Diceros bicornis minor: one gene and its partners. The protein of the gene in region 4 interacts with the protein of the main gene of each other region in a pairwise test. Links are inferred from orthologs where the notes say so. Each region holds a gene or a part of one and is shown on either strand. Other genes may lie near its edges. The genes, in order: PTPN4, DPPA4, PPFIBP2 and CRK.

Region 1 (7,291 bases), on a different chromosome or scaffold from region 4:
ATCTAGACTATAGCATATAAAAAACTTTATAACATGCATGTTATTACCCAGAAAAACAACAAAATTCAACTCAGTTTGTAACCAGTGAATTTCTGCAAATACTAAATTTTATTTAGGAGCAACAATTCATATTTAGCCCCATTAAGTGACATAGACTTGCCATTTCTAGTCAGGGCACCAATTTTACATTCTTAATAATTAACATAAAGAATTAAAACAGAACTTTTAAACATTTGTCTTTAAACATTCCCAAACAAGAATTCTATATATTTTTTTAGAGCTTTCTTACTGTTTAAAACTGACCATATTAACTCTCAGAGGGTGGGGAAAAAAAGCCCTCTCAATAACAGTCAATAACAATTTCTCCTTGAAATTATCTAGTAGTCTCTTACTTTGTTCCTCAAAAACATGACCACTGATCCCCCCTATAGTGTTTAGAATAGGTCATAAATACCAAACAGATAACACTGCACATCGTACTGTCACTTTACAACTCAAATTATGTTTAATAGCAAAACTAAAATATTTTGAATATACAAATCAGAGTTTAATAATAGTTTATGGGAGTCACATAAGAAAGAAAAAAACACAATGAAAAAAGTTTTTATTACTGTCCCAAATAAAGTACTTCACACATTAAAAAAAGTTAGGCTTCTATGCCTGAACTGAAGAAATCTAATTTGTGAGAGTCTGTAATCTTTTAAAGTCCTTCAATAATAATGAAGTGTACATTGGTCACAGTAGAATAGTTCAAATGAATTTTCCTGAGGCTACATTCTAAGTACATCTGACCCAGAAAGTATTTTTAGCAAGTGTGTCCAATCAATGCTGGTTTTATGCCTAGCCTAAATTAGAAATTGGGTGTCACAAATTTAAAGTAACAAAGTTACTAGGGACATTTTTAAAGACATTCAACTAGAACATAAGAAAAAGCCACAAGTTTGAAACAATTCAATACTCACAGCCCAGAAGCTAAACAGGTTAGAAAATAGGCAATATGAAAGTCACATCCTCATCCACTACTACTTTTGAGGAACTGTGATTTTCTAACTTAATAAACTTTAACCTACTCAATTAATATTAATAAAAACTACAAAATAGTGATGGCTCTTTGTGTTTTCAAAATCTCTTGCCAGATGTTTAAAACACATTAGGTTAATTATAAATATTCCCATGTACAAAAAAGACCATGTTTCTCTTCTTATAAACCACTCAAGATCATGATATTATGGGACCATGCAGAAGTTTCAATGCAAAACAGTAACAAAGATATGTGTGCCATAAAAAAAAAAAAATGAACACATAAAAATAGCTTTTGTGGTAATTGGAGCATAAATTTATTCTGACAAAAAATGGTGGAGTCTACAAAATGACAGCACTCTTTTATCACAAGTTAGTAAAGAAGTTCTGTACAATACACAAACTTTTGCCTACAAAAAAAGTCTTTTTTTAAAGAAAACTATAGGTTGAATTTATATTCATCAAATTCAAGATTTAACTGATATACCTAGCTCTATTCCATTAAGCACACTTTGGGCTCTGAATAATCATTTTAAGGTCATCTCCTCCTCTCTTCAAAAAACGAAAAATAATTTTTTTTTCTCTGGCACGTTACAGTTCAAAAATCAGGATAAAAAATGCGCTGGCTTTTACTGTTCCAGTCTTCTTTTTACTCAAATCGTCTTCTACAAGTCGGATACATTGGCTTTGGGGTTTTTTTCCCCTCCATAAACAGGTTTTAAACTGTACTGTTTCAATTGGGCCCAAGATCTGGTCACATAAACCTAATATTAGTCCATTCTCTGATTCGAAGAACAGTTTATACACCGCAAATATACAGGTTCTCCTAGAACAAGCGCTTGAAAATCCTACAAATCGTCCTTGTACATAGTGGTGTCACTACATAACGCAACCCCAGACATAAAGTCTCCCATTCTGTTTCGCAGAAACATCTATACATTTATCCGTGCAAGTGCAAACTGTTCCATTTTAAGGAAACCCTAGGAAATGCATCGGTACGACTATTTAGCTACATCTCAACTTTTTTTGGCCCAACTACAGATTCTTAAAAGCAAGCATATACCGGCAGAATCATAAGAGGCTTAAAACTTCAACGGTAGGGTCAGTCTGCTCGTGCAGCATGCAGGAAGCGCTCATATGAGCCAATAAAAAAAAAAAAAGAATCCTACCAGCAATGGAAAACTCAGAAGATTCTAAAACCTTACCTAGAGTTTAGGTACGGTGGAACATTCCATCTCCGCACCTATGCCATCCCTTCTCCCTTCGCTCATCCATAACAGATTCCAACTGTAACCCAGAGGAGCTCCGAGAGCAGAGGTCCCAGGAAGAAGGGGGGGGGCGCGATGTGGAAGCATCATTTTTTCCTTCCTTTTACATCAACCTTGTACCTCCGGCTGCCTTACCTGGTTCGCCTCCCACGAGCCACACACGCCCCGGGTAGCAGCCTCGCGTACAACGTGCAGGGCCGAGGGGCCGGCGGGGACACGGGAGCCTCTTACCTTCCTATCTCAGCCGCGTCCTCTCGGCTGGAGAAGAAAAGCCTGGAGGCCCGGGCGCGCCGGGGAGGAGCGCGTCCGCCGCGCCGCTCCCGGGGGTTCCCTCAGCGCCCCCTCAGCAGCCGCCGCCGCAGCGGCCGCGCCACGGCCCCGAGCCGCCAGCACCACCTCATTCTGCGGGGCTGCCGCGGGCCGGCGCCGCCGGGGAGGCGGGCGGGAGGCGGGCAGCCGGCGCGCGCTCCCACCTCCCTGCGGGGATGAGATAATTCACACCCCCTAAGGTGCCGTGGGGGAGGGAAGTCCCAGGGCGGGGGGCCTGGACCCGAACCTTCGACCCTTCGGCCACAGACAAGTCTCTCCTCTCCCCGGCTCAGGCCCCTAATTCAGCCCTGGGGACCCAGGAGTCCTGAGAGAACAATGTGGGGGGCCGCAAGGAGCGGAAAAGCGCGCGGCGCGGGCGGGCGGGTAACCCCGGGCAGCGTTTGTATGTGAGAGTGCAGGAGGAGCTCAAGCCACCCCCCCTCCTCTTCCTCCTCCTCCTCCTCCGTCTCCTCCTCCTCCTCCTTCCCCCTCAAGCACACCCGGTCTCCCAGGCCACAGCATAGCAACCGAACATGGCGGCTGCGCAGACGCCGCCAGTCAGCGATCGGGAGCCGCGGCGGCAGCAACAGGAGGCGATCTCGCGAGACGCAAGGCCAAACCCCTTCCCCGCTAGCGCAGACTGGAGAGGTTGCACCAGCCCCAGCGCGGGGGGACACTCAGGTGCGAGGGAGGCCGAACCTGGGTAGGTAGGGGAGGAAGGGCTGGGAGGAGAAGGCGGAGCGCTGTGTCTCCGCCCCATGGCCCCTCAGCGATTGGTTACTTGAACTGCGATCCCTGCTGGACCTACTGACCTAAGGGACCGGACGGAGCGACAAGAAACCTAAGTTTTAAAAGGGGAAAACGAGACCTCTTGGCCCCAGGTCGTCCCAACTTCAGTGCTAATAGAGGATGTAGGTTTTAGGATGCAGGTTTGAATCATTTCCTCTCCTAAATATAGACTCTAAAACAAAGAACAAACAACGTTCAGTTATAAAACAAACGTTTGGGTGCCTTCTGTGTGCCAGGGACGGTGTGTGCTTTTTAAAAATTGAATTAATTCATTCTAATAGCGCGTATGAATTTGGTGTTATCACGCCAGGGTTTTTAGCCAGGTGCATTCTAATATTTTATTGATGATACAAACTTATTGGTGATAAGACAAATGCCTACAGGCTGGGCGACCTCAGCTGAAATGATGTAAGGAGGGATTTAGGGACCATTACACATCCTTTTTGCATTCGTTTGTGTCAGTGCCCCTTCCTGTCGCCTTCTTGCTCTTCCTTGCTCTTAGCTTCAGCATCCCGCCAGAGCCAGCCTTCATACAAACGTTTTTCAAAAATCACTGTCCCTCCAAGCCAACGAAATGCCTATTTATTAACCAGGGGTGGTTTTTGCAAGAGGAAATCTTGCAAATTTATACACATCTGTGAAAGACAGCAATTTCTATTGATCCTCTTCTCCCTCGCACCCCCATTTAGTTTTTCCATTTTATTTTATTTTATTTTTTGTGAGGAAGATCAGCCCTGAGCTAACATCCATGCCAATCCTCCTCTTTTTGCTGAGGAAGACTGGCCCTGGGCTAACATCTGTGCCCATCTTTCTCCACTTTATATGGGAGGCTGTCACAGCATGGCTTGAGAAGCGGTGCTTCTGTGTGCACCGGGAATGGAACCCCCGGCTGCCAGCGGTGGAGTGTGCGCACTTAACCACTATGCCAGGGGGCCGCCCCGGCCCCTAGTTTTTCCACTTTAAAAAGACAACTTGTGAGTCCATATTTTTCCTGCATTACACCTTCTACTTACTTTTATTCCCAGAGCTTAGTTCCAGCCAATGCTCATTTGTCCTTCCCTAAATATGCTTTCCTGCCTCTAACTCTCCATTTTTTGTGACTTTGTTCATGCTATTTCCTCCGCTAAAATGCTCTTCACTTCATCTCCACCTGTCAACATCCTCCAACCACGGAGCACATGGGACTTCCACCAGAAGTAATTTCTTCCTCCGACATTGAGAGTTCTAGGTTTTTGCCTCCCTTTTTCTTATCACAATGCACATTTTGTTACACAATACCCATCCTTGTGTGGGTCTTATCGCCACTACCACATGGTAAGTTACTTGAGGGCAAGGACCTTGTCTTAGTCATCTTTGTATCCCCTATAATGTCTGGTGACACTGCCTGGTGTCAAAAAAGTTTGTTGAAAGAGTGAAATTCTTAAATCTCTAACTGATGGGATTTCAGGAAGGTACTTGAGACAGGGCAGGATCTTCCTCAGCTTAGGATCTGGGAGGTTGCTGTGTCTCTGGGTAATATTGGTCTGGTCCAGATTTGTTCTTGTTGATGCCTCGGGGAGCCTTCTAACTAGTCCTCCTACTAATCTTGCTATCTCAAGACCCTCCCCCTCCAGCCCATTCTTCCCACCCGCATCAGTGAACCACAGTGACCTTTTATACAAGTATAAGTGTGATTTATAAATATAGCTGGAGTCTCAACATTGGAGGGGCTGCAGGAGGACACTCTTTGTTTTGGGAAACTCCACAGGATGAGCCCTTTAGATAAAGAATGGAAGCCTCGTATCCATCTACTATTCTTTAGGAAAATTGTGAAGTCACTTTTTCTTTTAATTGATGTCTTAATAGTTTATAACATTGTGAAATTTTTGGTTGTACATTATTGTTTGTTAATCACCGTATACAAGTCTTCCTTCACCCCTTGTGCCCACCCCCCAACCCCCTTGCCCCTGGTAACCAGTATACAGTTTTCTCAGTCCGTGTGTTGGTTTATATTCCACATATGAGTGAGATCATACAGTGTTTGTCTTTCTCTTTCTGGCTTATTTCGCTTAACATAATACCCTCCAGGTCCATCCATGTTGTTGCAAATGGGACGATTTTGTCTTTTTTTATGGCTGAGTAGTATTCCATTGTATATATATACCACATCTTTTTGCTCCAGTCATCAGTCGAGGGACACTTGGGTTGCTTCCACTTCTTGGCTATAGTGAATAATGCTGCAATGAACATAGGGGTGCATAAGCCTCTTCAGATTGTTGATTTCAGGTTCGTTGGATAGATTCCCTGTAGTGGGTTAGCTGGATCATAGGGTATTTCTATTTTTAATTTTTTGAGGACTCTCTATACTGTTTTCCATAGAGGCTGCACCAGTTTGCATTCCCACCAGCTGTGTATGAGGGTTACCGTTTCTCCACATCCTCTACAACATTTATTGTTTTCTGTCTTGGTGATTATAGCCATTCTAATGGGCGTGAGGTGATATCTTAGTGTTGTTTTGATTTGCATTTCCCTGATGATTAGTAATGTTGAACATCTTCTCATATGCCTATTGGCCATCTGTATATCTTTTTTGGAGAACTGTGTGTTCATTTCCTCTGCCCATTTTTTAATCAGGTTGTTTGTTTTTTTGTTGTTCAGTTGTGCAAGTTCTTTATATATTATGGAGATTAACCCCTTGTCAGATATATGGTTTGCAAATATTTTCTCCCAGCTGGTAGGGTGTCTATGCATTTTCATCCTGGTTTCATTTGTCTTGTAGAAGCTCTTTAATCTGATGAAGTCCCACTTGCTTATTTTTTCTTTAGTTTCCCTAGTCTGAGTAGACATGGCATCCAAAAAGATTCCTTTATGACCAATGTCAAATAGTGTATTGCCTATATTTTCTTCTATGAGTTTTATAGTTTCAGGTCTCACCTTCAGGTCTTTGATCCATTTTGGGTTAATTTTTGTGAATGGCCATAGCACACGATCTACTTTCATTCTTTTGCATGTGGCTGTCCAGTTTTCCCAACACCATTTATTGAAGAGACTTTCCTTTCTCCATTGTATGTTCTTAGCTCCTTTGTTGAAGATTAGCTGTCCGTATATGTGTGGTTTTATTTCTGGGCTTTCAATTCTGTTCCATTGATCTGTGTCTGTTTTTGTAACAGTACCATGCTGTTTTGATTACTATTGCTTTGTAGTATGTTTTGAACTCAGGGATTGTGATGCCTCCAGCTTTGTTCTTTTTTCTTAGGATTGCTTTAGCTATTCGGGGTCTTTTGTTGCCCCATGTGAATTTTAGTATTCTTTGTTCTATTTCCCTGAAGAATGTCATAGGGATTATGTTGAATCTGTAGATTGCTTTAGGTAGTATAGACATATTAACTATGTTTATTCTTCCAATCCATGTGCATAGGATATCTTTCCATTTCTTTATGTCATCATCAATTTCTTTCAATAATGTCTTGTAGTTTTCATTGTATAGGTCTTTCACCTCCGTAGTAAGATTTATTCCCAGATATTTTGTTCTTTTTGATGCAGTTATAAATGGTATTATCTTTTTGAGCTCTCTTTCTGTTAGTTCATTATTAGCATACAGAAATGCAACTGATTTTTGTAGGTTGATTTTGTACCCTGCGACTTTGCTGTAGTTGTTATTTCTGGTAGTTTTCCAATGGATTCTTTAGGCTTTTCTGTATATAAAATCATGTCATCTGCAAATAGTGAGAGTTTCACTTCTTCATTGCCTATTTGGATTCCTTTTATTCCTTTTTCTTGCCTAATTGCTCTGGCCAAAACCTCCAGTACTATGTAGAATAAGAGTGGCGAAAGTAGGCAGCCTTGTCTTGTTCCTGTTCTCAGAGGAATGGCTTTCAGTTTTTCCCCATTGAGTATGATGTTGGCTGTAGGTTTGTCATAAATGG
Region 2 (7,269 bases), on a different chromosome or scaffold from region 4:
TTTCCAGAAACGATTCTCCCTTGTCCATCATCAATTTTCTCTGTGCTCCTGGCAGGATCTTGGCCTCCTTTGCTGTGACAGGAATGTTCTACAAACAGGATTTGAAAGATGAAGGCGCTATCAGAAGGACAGCCTTATTTGTATTACTCTTTGCTCAGAGTTGGTGAAAAGTGACGACAGGGGGATGTGGTTCCTCCTTAGAAGAAGTAGAGGGGCTGACACAATTCCTCTACTTACTGTTTGATGCTAAAATAGGTAATTAGGATGAGAACTAAATCTTCCACTCTGCCAAATTTTCTACAAATTACTCACCTGTTGATTGGGATAAGCATATTCACAGAGTCGCTTATATGCATCTAATTTCTGAGAAAAGAGAAAAAAGAATTAACAATGAAAGTAAGGTCCCTACCCTTTCTCCCAGCAGCATCGTCTCCCAACCCGGCCCTCACCTGGCCTTTGGTGCTCAGTTTCAGTTGTTGGCACCAGGCTCTCAAGGTGTCTCGGTGAAGCATGTTGGCTGGTGGCAGTTTAGAGGGTAATGGAGGAATTGGTGTCCTCTTCCGAAGTCTTACATCCTCTTTGTCTTGTTCCATCTTTTGAGGACAGCAAGCTGAAGGAGAATGGGATGAAACCAGTGCAGTCACTTTTAGCTCTCATAGTCCAATCCCTGTTGTACAGTTCAATGACTTGCCAAGACCACAAAACCGCCAAAGGTCAGAACCTCAAACCTAGGACTTAATATTTCTGAATTGCACACTTTTTGCTTCCTAAAACTCCCCACCACTGATACGCACTTGCTCCTTTGTGAGCTCTGTAACCCACAGGCTCCAAGGAGGGTGCACTAGAGATTGCACTTCCAATCCAGGGAAATGGTAGAAGTTGTAGACCTGAGATCATAAATATTCAGTGGTGCCTTGTCCTCTCACCATAAAACAAAATAAACCACCCAGCAATGCCACACACACCCCACTATTACCCATAATTCTGCCAGCCTACCTGAGTCAGGGCAGCACTCCAGTCTCATTGCACACAGGTCTCCTGCTGTGCCTCACGCACACTCAGCATTCAAGGAAGAATTACAGAACACACCTCCAGAGAGGACACAACTATGACGACTACACGGTAGTCGCTAGGGTTTACTGAGCCCACATTACTAGTCAGGTATAGTGAAGGTGTTTTATCTAATTATTCTATGTAAATTATAACCCACCTTCCACCGGACCTCTGACTCAACATGGTAGGTATTATCCTCACTTTTTAGAACAAGAAGTGAAGTTTCAAGGATGGGATTTCAAACTTACATTGGTCTGTCCCCAAATCACTGCACTTTGAGATCCTTAACTCCATGCAGTGAGTGAGGGCAAAATGATGATCAGAACCAAAAATGTTGTGGGATTTGGAGACAGGAAGAAATCAGTGTTAACAGGGGTGACCAAAAGAAGGCTTCAGGGAGGTGAGATTTAAGCTAGGCCTCGAAGAAATTTCTTTTATTTGAAGAAAATTCTGTAGGATTTGCACAAGAGAGGACGACGTTCCTTTCCTACTTTTCCTACTCCTTCAGAAAAATTCCTCAGGCCTCTTAGACCTGAGGAAATGAGATCTGAGGACTTGTAGACCTCTTACCTTTGTCATCCTTCACAGATCTTTTTCGTTTGGTCCCCCTCATGGAGGCTTGTTGTGCATTTGGTTCACCAGAAGCCTGCTGTTCCTCTTCGGGTTCTACCGACTGAGGTTTCGACTTGCCAGTCATATGTTCTTCCCCTGATTTCTTTTTGGAATTCCACTGGGGATTAGAGGCACCAGTCAGTCATTCCTCTGGTCCCACCCACCACACACACTACCTGCCTCAAGATAACTCACATCCAAGGCACCAAGACAGTCAGCGAACTCCGCTGGCGGTGTGGATTCCTCTCTGGGTGTCGTCTTAATGCCCAGGTTCATTTATAAGATAGGGAAGCAATGATGGGGAAATGGGAGAAGACCAATTTAAAAGTACAAAAAAAGACAGAAAATATGGATACAAACAAAAGAAGTAGAAGAAAATAAGGTCTGCTTTGGGGGAAGTCGTTACATCACCCATGATATCCATCCTCTCTCACCTGGAAGATTTTCCCCCATTCCTTCACTCTTGACCTCTTCCACATAAGTTTCCTATACTATTGCTGGAGGGATGCTATCAGACCTTCACATCCATTCGAAGATTTATTGTTCTTAGCGTAAAGATATGAAGATAAGCAAATGTCTTTCATATAACCCACCAGCCTCTTCTCACAATACTCTCCTCTGCCCCAAGCTCCAGTCAAAGAATTTCTGTCCTTCCCAACCTAGTTACTTTGGCCTGAAGTGGTATCACTCAGCTCCACCCCACCCCACCCTACTTCTATTTACATTCTTAAATGTTACTCCTCCTCCAGAATTCACTTCGAGCGTTCATCTCTAAACCCTTTCCCGTTTTTACAGACCAAGTCAAATCTACTACCTTTTGCCTCATTCCCACCACTGATCAGTTGCAATTTCACATTTGCTTGTGTCATTTGGTCAATGCCTATTATTCCATTTGATTGTAAGCTTCACAAGGGCAGAATTTCTTTCCCTTTCATCATAGGCACTCAATAAATGTTGGTTAATTGCATCAAAAGAAACAAGAGAACAGTGGGGATAAAGTTGTTTGTACAGAGAATCTGACAGTTGTTGAGCCTCTCTCTTCTATTAGGTATTGTTTGACACATTCCTTATTTTCTTTCCTTTAATCTGCACAGCAATCTGGTGACAGTTTATTTGTTTTTCAGATGCAGAAGCTGATGCCTTACATAACTAAGGGTGCGCAGATAGGCACGTTAGATAGGAATTAAATCCCAGATCAACTTGCTCCCAAACCTAATTCCTTTCCATCATCCCCAAGGTGGGAGTACTGGACAAATTAACATTTGTATGGCATTTTTACATTTCTATTGCAGTTTTACATTCGTATTCAAATTTTACATCTACATAGCCCTTACACAAACTACTCACTTTTGGGTCTCACAAAAGTCTTAAAATTGAGAGTGCAAAAATGACCTGGTTCTAGGAAAGAGACCCTGAGAGTGTTCAGGTTTCCCAGGCACGGGAGTTCAGTTCTTCTGGAACAAGCCTCAAAGCCTCTCCACCTCTTGTTTCTGTCTGCAGTGCTTGTCAAGATGTCTGGCTTATATTTCTTGGCCCTAACGACCCTGGGAAAAGAAGATGAGTTCAGACTCAACACATTTGCTTTAGGATCTGTGTCTGTTGAAGGGAAATTAAAGGATCTCGTTCTTTCCCCGACTCAGCTCATATCTCTTCCTGAAGTCTTTCCCTCACCTCCTCCTTGCCCCTGTTACCATTTCCTTACACCCCTGATACTGGATTCTTCTTTCTGATGGGATAAAGCATCTCTTCAAAACCAAAACAGGAAACCCCATTTCTTATTATTTCCTAGCTCCAATATAACAGGTTGCAGTCATATCCAGGACTTTACTTTTTTTTTTTTTAAAGAGGAGGAAATTGAAGGCACATTCTTTTCTCCTCAAAAGAAGGATCAAGTGTGCTCAGGGGAAGAGAGGAATATGAGGAGACTCACAAGGACAGAAAACAAACCCACTAAGATTGTACTTACCTGCTTGCCTTTTGCATTCTCCATACTCAGAAAAGAAGTCAAGGTTGATAAAAAGAAAGTTCTGCTTACTTCTAAAATGGCCCCTGGCCCAAGATTGCTCTTTTAAAAGTCTCCTCCCACTTCCTGCCACCCAGAAGGAACTCTTCTTTTTCTCCTCCCCTCTGTTCCCTCCCCCACAATTTGTGAATGCTAAATTTGTGTACTGTCTTATTCACAAGGCGACTATTGTATGAATGAATTAATACCATTCCTGGCCCTTTTCTATGAGCTTTTAAACATAATCACGTACAGTGTGGTTCAGGTGACATTGGAAAGTTTAAAACTCCTTCAGAGAAATTCCAAGAAGAAAAATAAAAATTTCCAGAGACTTGTGAATAGGATGGGTGAAAGGATTTAATGATAGAACTTGTGGAAACAATAGGATTCCGGACCAGACTGATGGCTTTAAGAAAGCAAAGCTGTTTTCATGTACCATATACATTCCATTTCTTAAGCAAGTTACTCTACCAATTAAAACTCCAGCGTTCCATCTGTGCTAATAGTAACTAGCACCTTCCCATCTGCCAACAAAGAATTATAGTAGTTTTTAAAGTCTATTGAGTATTTATGTACCAAATTCTAGGCTTAAAAGCTCACAGCCATTATTTTATTGTTCTCCATTTTATAGATGACCAAAGTATGTATAACATCGTATTGATCACTTGCTCAATAGCACAGTGAGAGAACCAGAAATCAAGTGTAGGTGGACGCGATTCTATCCCTTGAGCCCTAACCTACTGACTCCCAAACAAGGTCCAGATTCTCTCAAAAATAGTTTCAAAAATCCCTCCTTCTCAGATCATCCTCCCTGTCAAACTGTCAGGATTAGAGATGGGAGGGGAAGGAATTTCCTGGGTTAAGAACCAGTGATTGTGAGATTCAAACCTTTGTCAGATTACAAAGTCTGTGTTGTTTTTCCTACATCTCATTGCTTGCCCTAAAATGATGAAGAAGAAATGATCCTTACCCAGAATGGAGGGGATAATCTGCTCGCAGGATAGAAATACATGGACATAGGGAGTAAGTAAATGGGACCTAGGAGTAGAGAAGGAAGTGTACCTGTGGACTGGGCATCCCGCAGAGCACCAAGGACGAAAGTGAGTATTTAGAATGTAGATCATCTGGGAGGTCGCACCGGGGCTTTGACTGATCAGTTCTTTACTCTGGCTCAGAGACAACAACTGGTAACCAGTTGTCATCTTCCTTTTCCCAGTGTAACTGGAAGTAACGTTGCTGAGACTGAGACATCTAATCCCAGGCAAGGTACAATCTCTAAAGCGTGTATAAACAGAGCCAGTGTGTGCTGGAATTTGATTTAAGAATTCTTAGTCTCATCACCATTTGGGGGAACACAGTTCTAACAAGTTGCACCAACCATTCAAAAAACATGGGTTAGTTGATGTCCTATGTATAAAGAGGATTAGTACAATTTAAAATATTTGAGCATAATTGGAAACGGTACTACTGGGCTCTTGAATGAAGCAAAAAGAAGCCAAATATCTTTCTAACAGGCTTGTGGGAGTTGTGATAATTTATAAGCAATCTTGGGCAAAGTACGATACCTTTCTGCTTTGGTTTCTCAAATGTAAAATAGGGATAACTGTAAATTTATTGTGTCTTTTAGAGAAATAACTAACACAAATTTATGTGTAGTTTCTTATTAATGTTTAGTAGTCAAAAGAAAAACTTTTTATTGCTTTTTAAAAATGTTATGTCAATGCCTAAAGTTCTATCTACCCTGAGTTCAAAAAATATTCATAACTGAATCTCTTATTCATTTATTGAACAACAGTGTGTTGGGTGTCTGCTGTGTGCTCTGCCTGGGAGACACAGAGGTGGACAATGGCAGACAGGGACCCGGCCCACATGGGCTCACAGCTGGGGGAGAGGACAGATGTTAAGCAAATCATATCAGTAACTAATAATATAAGGAAATGCTCTTTTACTTGATTTTTAAATGCATTATATTCATTTATATGTATTATCAAAACCAATGTAAACTATTCAATTATGACACTTGAAAAATAGGAAAGCTCTGCATGTATGACAGCCTGCAGTAGGGGTTTTGACCTCATCAAGGAAGTCAGGAGAGCAGCGGGTCTAAGGACCAGGTGAACTGAACTAACTGAACAGAGGAAGGATCCGCCCAGAGAGACTGCACTCCTGAGGCAGCCCACCTCGGTTCAGGAACTGAAAGGGGCTGCGTGGGGCTAGGAGAGGGAGGAAGAAAATGTAAGCTGAGTCTGGATAGGTTGGCCTTTTGATCTTTAGGCTAAGAACAATGGAAAAATTCAGGGTGGGGTGGGGATGAAGGTGGGAGTGGGGGTGGGCAGATTCTGAAGAGCATTTTGTAAAGATCTTTCAACGGCAAGGAGGAGAAAGATGAGGTGACGGATCAGAGTAAACATGGGAAGGTAGGTTAGGAGGCTACCGAGGCAATGTTAGGTCTGAGATACTGGCAGCTGGAGCGGAAATGGAGAGTTGTGGCTAACAGCACGGACTGTCTTTAAACCTCAGCCTCCCCGTTACCAGCGTGTGACCTCAGGCAAGTTGTCTCACACCTGCAGGTCTCCCTTTCCTCATCTGTAAGACGGGAGTGGTGAAAACACTAACCCTCACTCAGAGGGTTGTGGGGGAGCGAAGAGGGCTCTCCCATGTCCTGAATAAACAGTGTCTAGGGCAGCACGTGTTGGGTCAATGTTAGATGTTTCTATTATTACAGCATTGGAGAGTGTTAAAAAACAAAATTCAACTGAGTAAATGTTAAAGATCTTATTGGCTTTATTCCATGATTCATGAATCAGGCAGCATCCAATCTAGCAGATAGAAAGGAGCTCTGAGGAGCTGTACAAAATGAAAGATTTTTATAGGCAGAGGGGGACAGCAGGAAGGAAGTTGTACTAGACAAAAAAAGCTGGTTGGTTATGCAAGGTGACTTTCCTTTAGGGAGTGGCAGGGGTCTATCAGGCAGATGACCTGACTAGTGCTGATCAGGCGATTCCTGATGGCTGGTGTAAGATTCCATTTCTGGGAGAGCCAAAAGTGTAAGTTAAGTCTCTGTTTGGTGACATGGGGCTTAGCATAAGTGACTCCATTTTGGCCTGTCTTGTTTTTAGCAAGAAGAATACATATTTGAGAGATGGGGAGTACTCCTCCTACGGTTTCTTTTTTCTTCATTTTTTTGTGTATTTTCTTTTCCAAAAAAAATTTTAATTGAATAAAATGAGCTGAGTTAATGAGGCTTTCAGTTGCTTACCTGGAGGCAATGAATCTTCCAAAGTCATTAATCTGCATTTACAGAAGACAAAACAGGATAGTGTCATACATAACCACCATTTCATATTTGATGGAAGGGAGAGATTTGGCGGGAAGTGGAACTGTGGAGGCTGGTTGGAGGACCTGTCTGGATCTCTCCGCGCTGTGTATTCTGAGAAGTCCTGGCTCAAAAGCTGGGCTTTTAAAAAAACTTATATATAGTTCAATTCATATCCAGAATGATTTTACAAGTTTATAACAGTGCATGCGAACACCTCTTTCTCCATATCCGAGAGACTGGTATTTTAAAAAATACACTAGAACTGGACACACCTAATGTATAA
Region 3 (7,386 bases), on a different chromosome or scaffold from region 4:
GAGATAAGACCGGCCTGGTGAAGATCCCCAAGATCGAACGAGACCTGGCTTTCAGAGTCTATAAAGGATACAGCCCACCTGTCTGAGACTACTTGTGGATTCTGCGAAAACTGAGACACACAGGTGCCATCAAGTGTTGAAACCAAAGAATGATGCCAGGAAGCATAAAGTGGAACTGCTCTGAGGAAGGAGGAAGCAGGAAAAATAGTGACTCAGGAAAACACACAGCTGCCAAGTTTCAGCCTGGTTGTGCCCACACCAAGTGATGACAGTGTCACTTTTTTTTTTCCTGAGTGTCACCTCTTGAATGGGGGTACACAGTCTAGGAACTTAACAAATGTTTAAAGGTCTCATCAGTTGTGTTCACATTAGCTCTTCCTTCTCATATTTTGCAATAGGGGATCCACCAGAAGATTTTAAACAGGGGAGCGTCATGAACAAATTTGTATTTCAGGAAAAAAAATTTCCAATGGCCAAGTAAAAAACAACTTCCAAATTTTATCCCAAATGTTACAGTCTAAAGGGCATGCCATTCCTTGTCTAAAGCTGAATTCTCCCAGAATTGTTCCTCCCTCCTCACTTCTCAACCCGTCCAGTCTAGAGACTGAACAGCCCACTCCCTGGCCCTCTGGCTTGTAGATTCTCTCTCTCGAGTCTCTCCTACCAGCTCCACCCTCTCAGGCCCAACATAAGGCCTTGTCACTTCTGTCCTGATTGACCTTCCAGTGTCCTAACTGACCTCTCCACCCCCAGTGTCTTTTCCCTCCAGTCCCTGCTTCCCGCACCGCCAGAGTCCATGACAGCAGTTCCCACACGGCCTTCAGCAGAATCACCTGGGGGAACTTGATAAAAACATCCCCAGACTTACTTTATCAGAATAGTTTAAAAGCTCCCCAGGTGAGTCTAAGGCATACCTAGATTTGCAAACTACTGCTCTTAATCTTGCTATAGATAGCGAAGGGATCTCACCACGGGGAACTTGTTAGAAATGCAGAATGTCAGGTCCCACTCCTGACCTAGGAATCAGAATCTGCATTTGAACAAGATCCTCAGGCGATTCTTAAGCTTGTTAAAGGTTGAGAAGCACTGCTCTAAAGCGTTGCCTGACCGTTCATTCCACAAACATTTACTGGATTTTCTCCACATCAGGCTAGGGGTTGGGAGAGTCAAGGGCCAAGGTCCCCTGACTTTCAACTCACAGAACCATCAGCCAATCCCCTGCTTGAAACTCATTATTGGTTCCCATGCTCGTGCTTTCAAAGTCCAGACTTCTGGCCCTGGCTTTCGCGGCCTGCCGCGACCACGTTTCATCTCTGTCACCAGCTTTATTGTCTACCGCTCGCCAGAGGAGCCAAGCTAGACCACTTGCCACTTCTCACGGCTAGTCTAGCCAGTGCTTGCCTGCCTACACAGCTCCCACAGCCCAGGTCACCCTCTACCCATCTCTGCCTGGAGAAACCCAGGAGAAATCCTTTTGAGATCCATCACACACACGTCACTCCCTTCTTGAAATGATCTCAGCTTTTCCTCCGAAGCACAGGAGTTCCCACAACTCTTTGCTCTCACCTCCTTCATAGCACTTGTCTCATTCTACTTAGTCGTAACAGCAGTGCACCTGCCATAGCTACCCCAGTAAAGAAGAGACCACGATTCTCAGTTTGTCTCCTCAGTAGCAATAAGCTAATAGCTGGCACATCATCAAATCTCAAAGTAATAATAATGTATAAATAAAATCATGGATGAATGCAGTAAATGAAAATTCACCAGTCTCCCTCATGTCCCACTTCAAAGTCGTTTAAATATGAATTTAAACAGAATACAAATGGGCTGCCTCTCTTAAACCCAAAAGAGAAATAATCTCTAAATCAAATAACATTTTGTGTTTTCCATATACAACTGGTAATCAAAGACTGAACATGCTAAAGATGAATTATGTCTGCAGCCAACTACCTTTCTGTAGTTGGGCATTTAACTTCACAAAATGCAACATACAATTTGGAAACATTTTGGATTTGTATTATAATCAATTAAAGAACAGGGAGAGGAAGGAGAGATGAAGAGAAAGACAGGAAGTAGACCAAAATATGGAAAGGGAGACGGATCTATACCAAATATCCAGCTGCTCTAAAAGTAAAACTATAATTTGTTTTGTAAGAGGATTAAACACTTGCTGGAATGCCCCTTTCAATCCTACCCAAAGTTGGAAGTTTTGGTCTTTAAATATATTATTTTCATCTGAGGAAGAACCGCTGGTCTGGCGTAGGGACGTCCTGAGGCAGAGGAGGAGCCCACTTTCAAACAGGGCCATCCCCACTTGCAGTCTACTGGGACGCAGTGGCCTGCGAGTTTGAAAAGCATGCTGCGTTTTTGCAATGACAACAGAGTCGGTCTCAGCCAAGGCGCTGCACCTGGACACACGCTCTGCCGAACGGATTTGCTTGGGCAAATAGACCGTAAATTTCCCGACCGCCTTGGGCTCTCCAGATTACGCGGCTGCTCCAGCTGACTAAACAGAGCTCTGTCATACCGCACAGAACTGAGGTGACCGACCACCCTGCGCATCTCCAGGGCCATCCTGGCACCTGTAGGAGCGCGGACTGTCCGTAGATCCCAGGCAGGGGTGGGCGGAGACTCGGAGCAAATCCGCAGGAGTTATACCCTCCTCCCATCTTCTGGCCAGAGAAGGGGAGAACGGCCCCCGTCCTCGAGGCTGGGACACGCTCTGGCGCCCACACCGGCACTGACCCCCACGCTCCGAGTGGTTCTTGGATCTCGGAGCTCTCTGTTCCCCAAGCAATGCCCCTGCGCGGGCTCCCAGTTCGGACCGCGCAGCGGGCCTGGGGGTGTGGGGACAGCCCACTGACCTGGGTGCGGGGCTCCTCTCCGCGCGGCTCAGGTGTGCGGGCCGCTCTTGTGTCCCTCCCACCTCCGTATATGAGAGCCGAGAACCGAGCTGCAGGCCACTGACCCACCGACCAACTGACCCACCAACCAGCGCACCGACCGGCAGCGGCAGGGTCTGGAGCCCACGTGACGGGGGCGGGGACCCGCGGGAGGCTCGTCCCGGAGCTCCCGCTCCCCCACCCCCTCTGACCGCCCCTCTGCCTCTCCCCCTCCCCCTCGGGTACCGTTGCGGCCGGTAGCGACCGGCCTCGACAATCCCGCCTCTTCGAACCTGCTTCAGCCCCCGCCCGGCCCCAGCTCCGCCCCCGCCCCCGACCCCTGGACCATCGTGGGAGTCCCCCAAGCCCCGCCTCTTTTGGGAGGCCACGCCCCTCCCTGGAGCCCCGCTCCTGCACTCTTCCGGCCCCGGGGAGGTCGCCGGGCGCTTCCAGCTCCCAGTCGCGTGGGCTTCTCCAGCCCTTCGCTAACCGCTCTTCGGCCGCAGGGCATGGAAGCGAGGAAGCAGAAAGGGAACTTGTGTCGAGAATTAGGAAGAGAAAGAGAGACGCCATAGAAAAAACGTTTTAGAGGCACACCCAGCGCAGCAACCCGAAGGTGTCCGGACTTCCGGACCCGTGCGATCCCGTCCAAATGGAGGCGGGCCTGAGGGCATCCTCATCCCTTGTCTCTGAGCACCAGCACCCCCCCCCCCCCGCGCAGTTTGGAAGGCTGAGTCACCCTAGGGTCCGGTCACTCGAACCCCGAGACCTGGGGTGGAGGTCCCTCTAGCGGTCAGCGCCGACCAAAGACACTGGAGCCGGTTCTTGTGAACAGTCCAGGACGAGAAGCACTTCCCTGTGCCCAGCACCAAGGCGGGGTTCCATAGGCCCAAGAAAAGCGTTCGTGATGTCTGACCACAGGAATGGATTCTAGAATCAGTGTAGGACTGGGCCCTGGGGACCTAGTCCAACGCCTTCCCCTAGTGTACCGCCTGAATCCCCTTTGGTTGTACTGCTAGGTTGTTGCCCTGCCTGGGCCTCCAAAGACTAGTTGCTCAGTTCAGCTGATTAAAATCCCTGTGGGCCTCAGATGGCATCGACAGCAGGGACTCTGGCAAGTCCCCAGCTCTGGCAGGAGCTGCCCTGGCCTCAGTTTTTATCTATGTTTCTACAGGCTGGAGTGTTGACAAACTCCACAAGACACATCTTTCAAATTACTCTGGTGCTCTGACATTACCAGTGTGCCCAGAAGACTTTTACATGTGAACAAAACTTAAGCCACCCTGGCAAATATGAGACTCTGGTCACTGCAGGAACCTGGCCAGAAGCAGACCTAGGGCAAAGCCAGCAGAGGAAGGCTGGGGCCCACAAGAGTTGTGTTACAACAGGACACCTTTCAGTTCTCTTTCGCTTCCTTAAAATAGCAGCAGAGAGGCCTTTGTAGACTGAGCTGCCACAGTTCACACGAGTTCATGGGTGTTTCCAAATCCCACATGTTGGTGTCCCAGTGAACCCACCGCCCTGACCCCAGCCCCCAATCTGTGCTTAGAACTATACAATTACTTTTTAAAATTACTTTAAGAAGTGGTGCAAGTGTCTGGGTTTCAAGCTTATTCACACTTTGGAACGATGTTGGGGGAGAGGACTTAAAAAATACTGTCTGGGTCTCACCTCCAGAGGTTCCGATTTAATGGTCTGGGGGGTGGCCTTGCTTTAGGATTTTTAAATACTCCTCAGGTAATGCTTATGTGCAGTAAAGTTTAAGAACTTCGACCCTCCCTGAAATCCATCAAGCTGAAAAGTTCACCGGAAAGACGCACAAGGCAGTGTTCACCGGCCTGCATGCTATCCAGCCCTAGCTCCCGGGAAACAAAGTGGCACATTAACTGGGCTTCCTGGAGAAAACGTCTTGACGTAAAAGAGTGATTCTAGCTGCAGGAATTTAAGGCACCAGGTTGTTAGTGGCAGGTACGCCCTGCAGAACTGTCAAATGAAAGCATACCAGAGACGAGAGGCAGTCAGCACGTCACAGGCAACCTCTCCTCCATGCCTCCAGAGGAACTTTGTGTGCAGGACCTGCGCATAATTCCACTCGCTGATAATGCCACACTACCTTCCTCTGTGAGGCAGCCCACATTCCTTTTCCCTGTGAAATAGGTAATGCTATTGTACCCATGGGGCGGGTAATGTCCCGAAACCCATGGAGTGGGTAATATCATCATGTTTGTTTATTCAGAACTGCCTCCTTCCACAACGGACTTGGGCTTTCCGTATCACTTTATTGGAACTGTGGGTAATTGTGCTGTATCCATGCGGTGAGTAATTTTATTCTGCCAAAGATCTACTCAAATGCCCTGGGGAAAAAACAAATGAACTCTCTTCACTGCCTACAGTCCCAGCCTGGGCTTGGCAGAGTCACGAAAACAGCTGCAAAGGCACAAAGCAAACTCTCTCATGTGACCAACCTGGAAGGACAGAGGCCTTGGCACATGACACAGAGTGGCACCACAGCCTGCACTTGTGACCCAAACAGGCTGATTGGACGGATGCGTGGGAAAGATTTTGAAGAAGCCCCTCTGGATAGGCACAGCTGTCCTCTGTCCCCTGTGCCACATGGTACGCCTGCTGTGACAGGGAGTCACTTGCCTGCTACCTGGCTTCCATCCAGATTCCACAACATTTACCAAGGGCCTCTGCGTCTTGGGGTTGGTTCGCAGTAAACCCAAGCACAGGCAGCCCTCCCTGAAACTCTGATGCTGAGGGTATGCAGGCAAATATAACCTCATGAGGTTTATTTGCTGAGTGTCAGTTTTATTGTATTTCAGGGAAGAAGAGAGAAGCAGGGGAAGGTAAGCCAAGATGAGGCTGGAGGTGGGTCCTCACCCTTAGGCTGGTTGTCTGGAGTAAGTACCTTTTGAAAAGCCTTTAGGAAAGTCTTGTGCAGACACGAAAACAGGCTGAAGGGGTATATCATTATTTTGAGGCTGAAATAATGAACATATTGCTTATAAAAGGTTGGACAAAGAAATATACATATTTGATGCTTCCTTGGGCAATGGAAAGACTAAGGACTTTGCAGTATTTTCTAGCTCTGTCTTTCATTTTGTAGCTGTGTTACTTTGAACGGCTCATCTAAACTCTCCTCATCTTTAAATGGGAATTATAAAGACTTGTTCTGCATATCACAAGGATGAGATGAGAATTAAATGATGTGACATAAGTGCAAACACTTTGTAACTGGAAAATGGTATTCAAATGTTAATGTTTTTACTTTATTATTATATCTACCTAGCCTGGTGGAGGGGCAAAGCTAGGGGAAATGGAAATTAAACATCAATAAGAAGTAGTACTTTAGTTGGGCAGTGAAAAATGGAAGAATATCAATAAGCATTTGTGAAAGAAGAAAGAGCTTCAGCAAAAAGGCCAGAGGAGACAAAAGCCAGGAGTATTAGTGGGTGGTCTATATTACTAATTGCTGAGGCGGGGGGAGTTAGAGTAAATGCTTGTAAAAGAAAAGGCTGGACGTAAGCAGGATCAGAATGTGGAAGGCCTTGAGAGCCAGAAGGTTTGGATGGCTAATGGAAGCTGTTGAAAAATTTCTGAATGACAAACTCTCAACTAAGCTTTTGGAAGATCCCTAAGGCCAATAACATCTGGGAAAGGAGGCATATGCATTCCCACTTCTGGACCCTATCCCTGTATGTGACTGGAGGGATACTATATTGCAAAAGGGCTGTGGCCTCATTGTCCTGGAAAGCAGCATCCATAGCCATGGTGCTCTCCATCTCGGCTGTAGGGCATTACTCCGGAGGCTGCTTTCTCTTTGTCTGGAGTTTGTAAATGATCTGGTTTCCATCATTCCAGGCATAGAGCTGCTTATCTCTGGGGTTGTAATGGATCATGGAGTGACTTCTTGGCCGCCTAGGGAAGAACAAGTTGGGCAGATCGTTGTCACTGATAGTGCCCAGCGGATCATAGACACAGTTGATGCGATGGGGGCCGTGGCCACCAGAACTATAGACCACATAGAGAACCCCACACAAGAGGAATGAGGCTTCAGCATCCTGGCTTCTGCATGGAGTGTCCCATGAATGTTCCACTCCCAGTGTGCCAGGCTCAATTTTTGTGAGAACCAAATGGCTTTGGATGCCTGGCCCTGAGTGGATGGCCCAGAGCCCATGCTCATCCACAGCCAGGTCAATGTAAGTTGAGGGAGAGTGCTGGTAGACCAGCGCTCGGCCTGCCCCTCCTGGGAGCAACATTCGATCTTCCACAGTCCTCTTCTGCAGATTATATTTGATTATCTCGTTGGGAGTCCCTCGGTTGTGAAAAAATAGAAAACCCTTGTAGATCACTTGGCCTGTTCCCTGCCAGGAACGTGTTAGGATTAGCTTCCGGGGGCCTGGCTTGGTGCCATCCTCCACGAATGCCCGCATGTTTGCAAATTCCCAAACAGTGTTGCTTCTGGACCCAATGAAGAAGTAAACCTTTGGAGAGTCGCTGA
Region 4 (7,522 bases):
TGACCAGGACACTTGACCAAACCCTGCCCTATGGCCCTGGGGCACAGCTAGGATAGTCCCAGGCTGCGGCAGCATCGGTAGCCTGTAGGACCTGAACACCTAAGGTAAGTTCAAATAGGTTCACTGGAAAAGGTTGAGAATACCTGGTCTATTCCATTCCTATGACTCTAAAAACTACATCTAGGCCACTCCATACATATTTTACATAGGTATTATGTCCACAAAATATACTATATAATCCTAAGCAAAAAGCTCATTTTCCATATTCCATTTGCCAAATAAAGATTTTAAAAGCCTCTTCATCATTGACTTTTAGATAGCAGATGTGTATTGTCTGAACACTAAAGCCAGTTTCTTCTTGTGATCCTTTCCTTTTGGTCTTTAAATAGAACCTGAGACCCTAGGACACAGACAAAAGCACTGAGTCCTCCATGTGCACTGCTGAGATCTCAAAAGGAAACTGGCTTTGACAGAAAAGAGTACAGTGTAACAGTGTCAGCACTCAGGTCAGAATTCCTAGGTTCAAATTCTGGCTCTGTCATTTACTAGTTGTGTGACCTTGGGCAAGTTACTGAATCTCTCTCACTTTCCTCATCTATAAAATGGAAATATTTTAATAAATGGAGATCATAGTACTTTCCTCACTAGATTGTTACAGACAGTAAATGAGATAAGGCACATAAAGCACTCAGCAAAGTACCTGGCACAGAATAACCAGTCAATAAATGTTAGCTATTAATATTGTATATGCCTTTCTAAAATTCAAGAAAGTCCTCTGTGTGATTTCAAAAGGAAAAGAGCTTCATGTAGGAGGGGTAGAATAAAGATTAAGTTATCTTGATAAAGACAGCAACTGGATCCTATGTGAAAAATAGGGTACACAGCACAAAGAATTACCACAATGCCCATGAACTTTCCACACCCCATCCACAAACTTTGGCAATCTTCACCTTCTCTCTTGGGCCAAGGATCTGAACTCATATCTGCTATGAAAAGGTGGAGCTCAATACCAAAGTAAGTGCTGCGATATAAAGTCATAATGCCAACATGTGGAGAAAGCTCAAACAAACCTGCCTACTGCCATTTCCAAATTTTGCAACCAACAGAACACATACACATACAGAAGGTTGAGAACTGAGCTTCGGTGACAGTTTGCCATCATGTCACTAAACTATAATGCAAAACCCTAGATACTGTGCAGGTTGTAAACAGCAGAAAATATCTGGTTTAGGGCAAATATATGTTACATCAATATTATCATCTCCTGTCATAATGCTATTAAACCTACCAGACTGAGAAAGACCTAGGACAATTTGTGGACTAAAGATCCCACATTCTTTTTAAAAATTGGCAAGGGTTAACAACAAAGAGACTGATTATCCTGTCCCCCCATTTCTGGCCAGAGTGAATAAACCTAAATTAGGACTATGCTAAAAGGGCATGTCTGCAAAGGCTGGCTCAGAAGCCTCCTAATTCACACGAGATTGGCTTGGATCTAGACTGGGCTGGTGAGGAGGAAACTGCTTCAACCCGGGAACAGTGAGAAGACACCAGAACTCCTGTGCTGTTAGACAGGTAACGACAACCTCAGAATTACCGTGTCCCTCACAAATCTCAAGTACTATGTGCAAAAATCTCCTTAACATTTCCCAAACACCTCCAACGGCATGGGTAAGAGAGTCATACCTCAATGATGCTTGGCAAGAAACATCCAGTGCAGATAATTTAAATTCTCAGAGAATCAGCTTGGTGGGGTCTGTTCCCAATACCTAGCAAGACTCAGGCCACAGCCCCAACTTACTGAGCACGGAGACGCCCTAAAGTAGAAGACTGACAATGTTTAAGTCCAAGGAAAAATGAAGTTCCATTCCCTGCCAGGGAAGGGATTGTTTCCACTGCCTTATTTCTGGTTTATTTCCTGAAAAAAATCTTTCCTCCGTTAAACACTCTGAAAACTACAACCCCCTAATTGTGGAGGACAGTCTCTGGACACTAAAATCTCTGTGACACGGTCAGCTGGGCGTCACCTTACTGTGGGCTGGTCGTGGAGGGCTTTCTTCTATCACCAAGGCACTCAGCTCACCACCTTCGTCCTCCGCGGGGGAAGAGGACGGTAAAAGTATTTTGGAAAAATGCCCAAGAAAGGAAAAAGCTGACCGGTTTCCTGAAGGTGTCTCCATCCCTCCGGGCCAGTATGTGGTGACTTCCTACCAAAGGCCACCAGGGGAGTATAGCCAAACCCGGCTCTCCAACACTGCAGGAAATGTTTCAAGCCTAAAAAGCCACTTGCAAGATTATCGGACTCATTCTGGGCACCGCTGCCAAGCGATGCCCCCGCAGTGCCAACATCCCCCTCAGTTCTTTGTCCCCACGTTGCCCGGCTCTGCCCTTGTGCCTGGCCCAGGCGCTAGCCCCACCCTGGGACCGAGGCAGTTCCCCTTCCCCTGGGCTGTCCTCCCAAGTCACACCCAGAGAAGGCCTGGGTCAGCGGCTCCTCCTCCCCCACGCACTCCCGCTCGTCGGTGGGAATGAGCCCCGGCAGCAGGCTGCCCCCTGCCATGGTCACTCCAGCCCTCTGCCCACGTCCCTCGTGAGGGTCAGCTCGCGAGGAGCAGCCGGCCAGGCTGGGGAGTTCCGCGGCCCTCACCCCCGCCCGGGGCCTCCCGTCCCGTCCGTCCCTCACCGGGCGGAGGCTGGGCGGGCGACGGCGGCACCGGTGGGCGCGGGCCGCTGCTGTTAATGATGTAGTGGGAGACGCGCGAGTTCTCCGAGACGCTGAGCACATAGTCCCCGGGGCTGGTGCTCGAGTCCCGCACCAGGAACACCCCGTGCCGCTGGCCCTGCAACAGCGCCACCGCCTCCTGCCGGCTCAACCGTCCCCAGTACCAGCTACTCCGCTCCTCTGAGTCGAAGTTGCCCGCCATGGCCGCCTCCGCGCCTACACGTTGGGCCGCCGCCGCCCCGCGCGCCCCTCCAGCCCCGGCGCCCGCCGCCCAGCGGACCGGCTCCGCTCTCAGCCTCACAGCAGCGCCCGAAATGGCGGCGGCGGCCGCGGGCCTTCCCCACCGGAAATGACGCGCTCCCTGCCCCCGGGAGGACGCCGGGAAGGGGACCGCCGCCCGCCATTGGGAGAAGGGCGAGGGACCGCTTGCTTTCTCACTGCGCATGCGGCCTCATGGGCGTCGCCGCCTGGCAGGGACTGGGACTGCAGAGGATGGAGAGGTGGAGTCCAGGGCCGAGAGGCGGGGCCTCAGCCGGCAGTCCGCGGAGGTTTGTATTCGCCCGGTTGCCCACGCGGTTCTTAGCTCCGCCAGGCTTCGAGATCCTGGAAGGCCCAGAACTTCTAGGCAGCGACTCCGACACAGAATTAGAGTAGCAAAGATGACATGGCCTCAGGGCCCGAGCTCCCTGAGACGGTCTTTTTTCTGATGATTCCTCCAGCTTCTCCCCAGGCCGGCTCAAGTTCTTGTTTTCATTGATTCATTCAGCAAACAGTTACTGACACCACATTTGCCCTGCGGGTGCAAAGGTGATCAAGGCTGGATCCTTCCCTCACCGCCTTCTCAGACCAGTGGGAGGAACCAGGAAACAGCCAAAGACAAAGGAATGCCAAGTGCTATGACAGGGAACGGACTAGGGACTCCAGGAACACAGAGCAGGGCCCCCTAATCCAGCCTGTAGAGCGATCCAAGAGGGCTTCCCACAGGAGGTGGCTTGAGCTGAATGTTGAACGGCAAGTGGGGAAGGGCATTCAAGACAAAGGGAACAGAGTATGCCAAGCCAGAAGTATGGAGGCTCTACTGAGGCTCTCAAGTCATCTGCCCAGATTCTTCTAAACCGTAATTGTGGCCATGGGTGTGCTCTACACTCCTTGCCATCATAATCATCTCTATCTCTGTATCCCATACCTATATCTGTATTCCTGTGAACAACCTGCTCACTGGTGCTCTATAGTCTTGCTGCCCCTAATTGCATTGCACATCTGCCAGTGTGAACTTTCTAAATTACAACTCTGAGTCTGTGGCTACCCTGTGTAAAACTTTTAACAGTCTCCAGATGTTAAAACTCTCGGTTTAGGACCAGCCTCGTGGCCTAGTGGTTAAAGTTCCATACACTCTGCTTCGGCAGCCCCAGGTTCGCGGGTTCAGATCCTGGGCATGGACATACTCCACTCATCAGCCATGCTGTGGAGGCATCTCACATACAAAAAATAGAGGAAGATTGGCGCGGGTGTTAGCTCAGGGCAAATCTTCATCACCAAAAAAAACCAACAACAACAACTCCCGGTTTAGCTCACAGCATAAAACTGAGCCACGGTCCCATCTTCACTTCTCCCACAGTAACCTTGTGTCTCTTCTTCCTGGAATGCCTGTCCACTCCTTTTGGGATCTCGAAACTCAAATGCCTCCGCTTTCCCAATCACCACATCTCTCCCTCTTTGCATCAATAGCAGTACATCCATATTATCTCCATTTCTTACTGGTTGTACTGTAATCATTTACAGGTCTGTGTCCCATGCTAGAGCTCCTCAAAGGCCAAGCATCTAGTACAGAAGGCACTCCATATATGTTTCATAATAATAGCTTACATTTATTCAAGGAATACTATCTGCCAGGCATAGTGCTAACTGCCTTTATATGGATGATCTCATTTAATCCCCTCAACAACCTTATGAGTTGGTATTTTACAACTATCTCCATTATACAGATGACGCTCAGAGAGGTTAAGTAACTTGTCCAGAGACACACGACTGCTAAGTGGGGAGCTGGGATTCAAATCCTGGAAGGAGAAGGGAGCTATGGTCACTCTGCTATATCCTCAGACCTCTGGTAGAGGGTAGGAGGTGGAGGGAGGATGGTAGGAATAGACATTAAAAAAAAATCAGTCAGCCCTGGGTTCTGGTCTTACGTGAATGACACACCTCTTCCGGACCTACTTCACACCCCTCCGAGCCTGCTCTGGGAAGGGGAGGGGAGCAAGGGCACCTTCCCTGATATGGGTGACTCATCGTGACCCTGGCTTAGTCACAGCATGTCACCACAAGCCAGCAGCAGAAACCACCCCAGTGTGAATTCCGGCCCTTTGGGAAAGAGAAGTGCTTGGTCTTCATTTTCCCAGGACGGCCGGGCTTTCAGACAGGACCATACCCAGAGACTGCCTGTGGGGTTCTGAAACCATGCCTCTAAGTCCCCTCCCTAGGGCACATGGACATGACAGAAAAGAATACTTTAAAAGAAGAAGAAAAAGAGAGAGAAAGAAGGAAGGAGGAAGGAAAGGAAGAAGAAAGAGAAAGAAAGAGGGAGGGAAGGAAGGAAGGAAGGAAGGGAGGGAGGGAGAGAGAGAGAAAGAAAGGAAAGGAACAAAGGAAACGAAGGAAGGAAGGAAGGAAGAGAGAGAGAGAAAGAAAGAAAGGAAAGGAAGGGAGGGAGGGAGAGAGAGAAAGAAAGAGGGAGGGAGGGAGGGGGGAAGAGGAGAACAAATTGTAACTGGAAAATAAGCAAGGAGATTGGCAAAGAGAGGAGATTCAGCCCCAAGCAGAGAACTATTGAGTGTGTTCTTCCTTGGAGCCAACAGGTAGGAACAGGAGTGGCCCTGGGACAAGCAGAAGGCCAGCCCAGCTTGCCCCTCCCTGCTTTCTCTCCTCCTCCTCCTCCTCTCCTCTTCATACACCAGGATTTGCAGCTATAATGGTGGCTTTTGCCCCCTGATAAGCCCAAGATCTGCCCTACAAAGAATGTGACCTTGCTTAGGAAGGGGTCCTGGTGCTGGGGGGTGTATGTGGGAGGGGTCGGGGAAAGGGACCTGAAGGAGAAGCAGGGGCAAAAGGGGAAAAGAAAGGAAAGGCTGCCCTGCGCAAGAGAAAAACCGCACCAAAGTCCTCCACTTCCTACCCTCCTAACCAAAGAAAGGCATTCTTTATTTTAGCAATGGAGGAGGAGCAGGGGTCAATGACCTGCTTGCCTGCCTGCTGCATGTCGCCTAAAGTGACCAGAGCTGCCTCATACAGCTATGCAGACAGGTCGTGCATTGCACAACGCCAGGGTACTATGTAAATGGAACCCTCTGGAGTTGGGCTACTTATATCCACTTTTCCTTAAAAAAAAAAAGCAAACAGAAAGATTATTTGTATCAAGATGACAAAAATTGCTATTTAGAGAGAAAACTGACAGTATCACCTTCCAAAGTGTGTGTGAGAGAGAAAGAGAAAAGGTAGGCACAATTTATATCAAAATATGTGGAGACAAGGAGAGAGAAAGGAGACAGAGAAATTCCAAGTCTGCTGGATTTTCTGGACTATGACAAAGAGAGATGCCCCACCTGCCAGTGGGTAGCCCTTAGTTTTGCAGTGACAAGGACCAGTCTTTAAATGTGCAAAGAGGGGGCCGGCCCGGTGGCACAAGCAGTTAAGTGCTCGCGCTCCACTGCAACAGCCCAGGGTTCGCTGGTTTGGATCCTGGGCGCGCACCTATGCACTGCTTGTCGAGCCATGCTGTGGTGGCATCCCATATAAAGTAGAGGAAGATGGGCATGGATGTTAGCCCACGGCCAGTCTTCCTCAGCAAAAAGAGGAGGATTGGCAGATGTTAGCTCAGGGCCGATCTTCCTCACCAAAAAAAAAAAAAAAGTGCAAAGATAAGATCTGGAGGCAGACACTAGGGGAAACCTCTGGGGAGAAATATGAGGGGACTCAAGGAGGGCCTTCGGGAGCAAAGCGTGCTGGGAACCAAAGCAAGAGGCCAGACCTTCCCAGAAAGGGCAGTGAGATGCTCCCAATGGCAACAGTCCGTAGGACTGTTGAGAGTGAGTTATCTGCCTTGCAGCAATGTAAATCTCCCTCATACCCCCATCTTTTAGGAAAGCTGCTCACACAGATGCCTTTTGTGGGGAGGAGTCCAGAAGAATGTGCCAACTTCCTTGTCCCCATCCTCGTGGAGCTGAGAAAATCAAGAACATCTGAAGGAGGTGAGATGCAAATGCACCCATCTTTTCTTCTCCTCTTCTCTCTCTGCTTACTCCTCTCTGGCCCACTGACCTTTTCTCTAAAAATCCCCCACGCTTTGCACTTGCTGTTCCCTCTGCTGGATATCCATGGTCGCTGGCTCCCCTGCTTCAGGTCTCTGCCCCAGTGCTGCCCCGCAGGGAGGCCCTCCCTCACCAGCCCATTTGAAACTGCAAACTGCACACCCACTTCTCCCTCTCCCCCTCCCTGTGTCTCTGCTTTATTTATTTTCCTAGTTCTTATCTCCTTCTAATCTAGTACATATTTTACATATTTGTTTTCTGTCTTGTCTTCTCTTCCTCTCTAGAATATAAGCTCCATAAAAGCAAGGATTTTGGTCTTTTTTGTTCCTTCTATATCCCAAGTGCCTGGCAGAGAGCCTCCCACACAGTAGGCAGTAAGTACATATTGGTCGAATGAAGGAATGAATAATGAATTGGAGTCAGGTGGAGGCTCTCGTCCAGAGCCAAAGTTAGCTTCCTACAATTGGCAGATAGCTCCTGGAGGGCACTGGACTTCCCA

The links.
Region 1: the proteins of CRK (region 4) and PTPN4 interact in binary tests that used the Homo sapiens proteins (3 or more experiments, as listed by UniProt). The link is inferred for Diceros bicornis minor from reciprocal best matches to the Homo sapiens genes CRK and PTPN4.
Region 2: the proteins of CRK (region 4) and DPPA4 interact in binary tests that used the Homo sapiens proteins (3 or more experiments, as listed by UniProt). The two-hybrid records come from large-scale screens. The link is inferred for Diceros bicornis minor from reciprocal best matches to the Homo sapiens genes CRK and DPPA4.
Region 3: the proteins of CRK (region 4) and PPFIBP2 interact in binary tests that used the Homo sapiens proteins (3 or more experiments, as listed by UniProt). The link is inferred for Diceros bicornis minor from reciprocal best matches to the Homo sapiens genes CRK and PPFIBP2.

The regions. Positions count from the first base shown.
Region 1 is NC_080749.1:12,914,276-12,921,566, forward strand, and holds the start of PTPN4 (tyrosine-protein phosphatase non-receptor type 4), read right to left. Parts: upstream 3,013-7,291; 5' UTR 2,520-3,012; intron 1-2,519. UniProt on the Homo sapiens protein: Phosphatase that plays a role in immunity, learning, synaptic plasticity or cell homeostasis. Regulates neuronal cell homeostasis by protecting neurons against apoptosis.
Region 2 is NC_080754.1:12,450,644-12,457,912, forward strand, and holds the start of DPPA4 (developmental pluripotency-associated protein 4), read right to left. Parts: upstream 3,007-7,269; 5' UTR 2,145-3,006; coding exon 2,100-2,144; intron 1,924-2,099; coding exon 1,861-1,923; intron 1,784-1,860; coding exon 1,624-1,783; intron 611-1,623; coding exon 450-610; intron 364-449; coding exon 313-363; intron 89-312; coding exon 1-88. UniProt on the Homo sapiens protein: May be involved in the maintenance of active epigenetic status of target genes. May inhibit differentiation of embryonic cells into a primitive ectoderm lineage.
Region 3 is NC_080746.1:66,097,216-66,104,601, reverse strand, and holds the start of PPFIBP2 (liprin-beta-2), read right to left. Parts: upstream 3,002-7,386; 5' UTR 2,865-3,001; intron 1-2,864. Other genes in the region: OLFML1 (olfactomedin-like protein 1), read right to left, coding at 6,683-7,386. UniProt on the Homo sapiens protein: May regulate the disassembly of focal adhesions. Did not bind receptor-like tyrosine phosphatases type 2A.
Region 4 is NC_080757.1:16,257,030-16,264,551, reverse strand, and holds the start of CRK (adapter molecule crk), read right to left. Parts: upstream 3,021-7,522; 5' UTR 2,925-3,020; coding exon 2,684-2,924; intron 1-2,683. UniProt on the Homo sapiens protein: Involved in cell branching and adhesion mediated by BCAR1-CRK-RAPGEF1 signaling and activation of RAP1.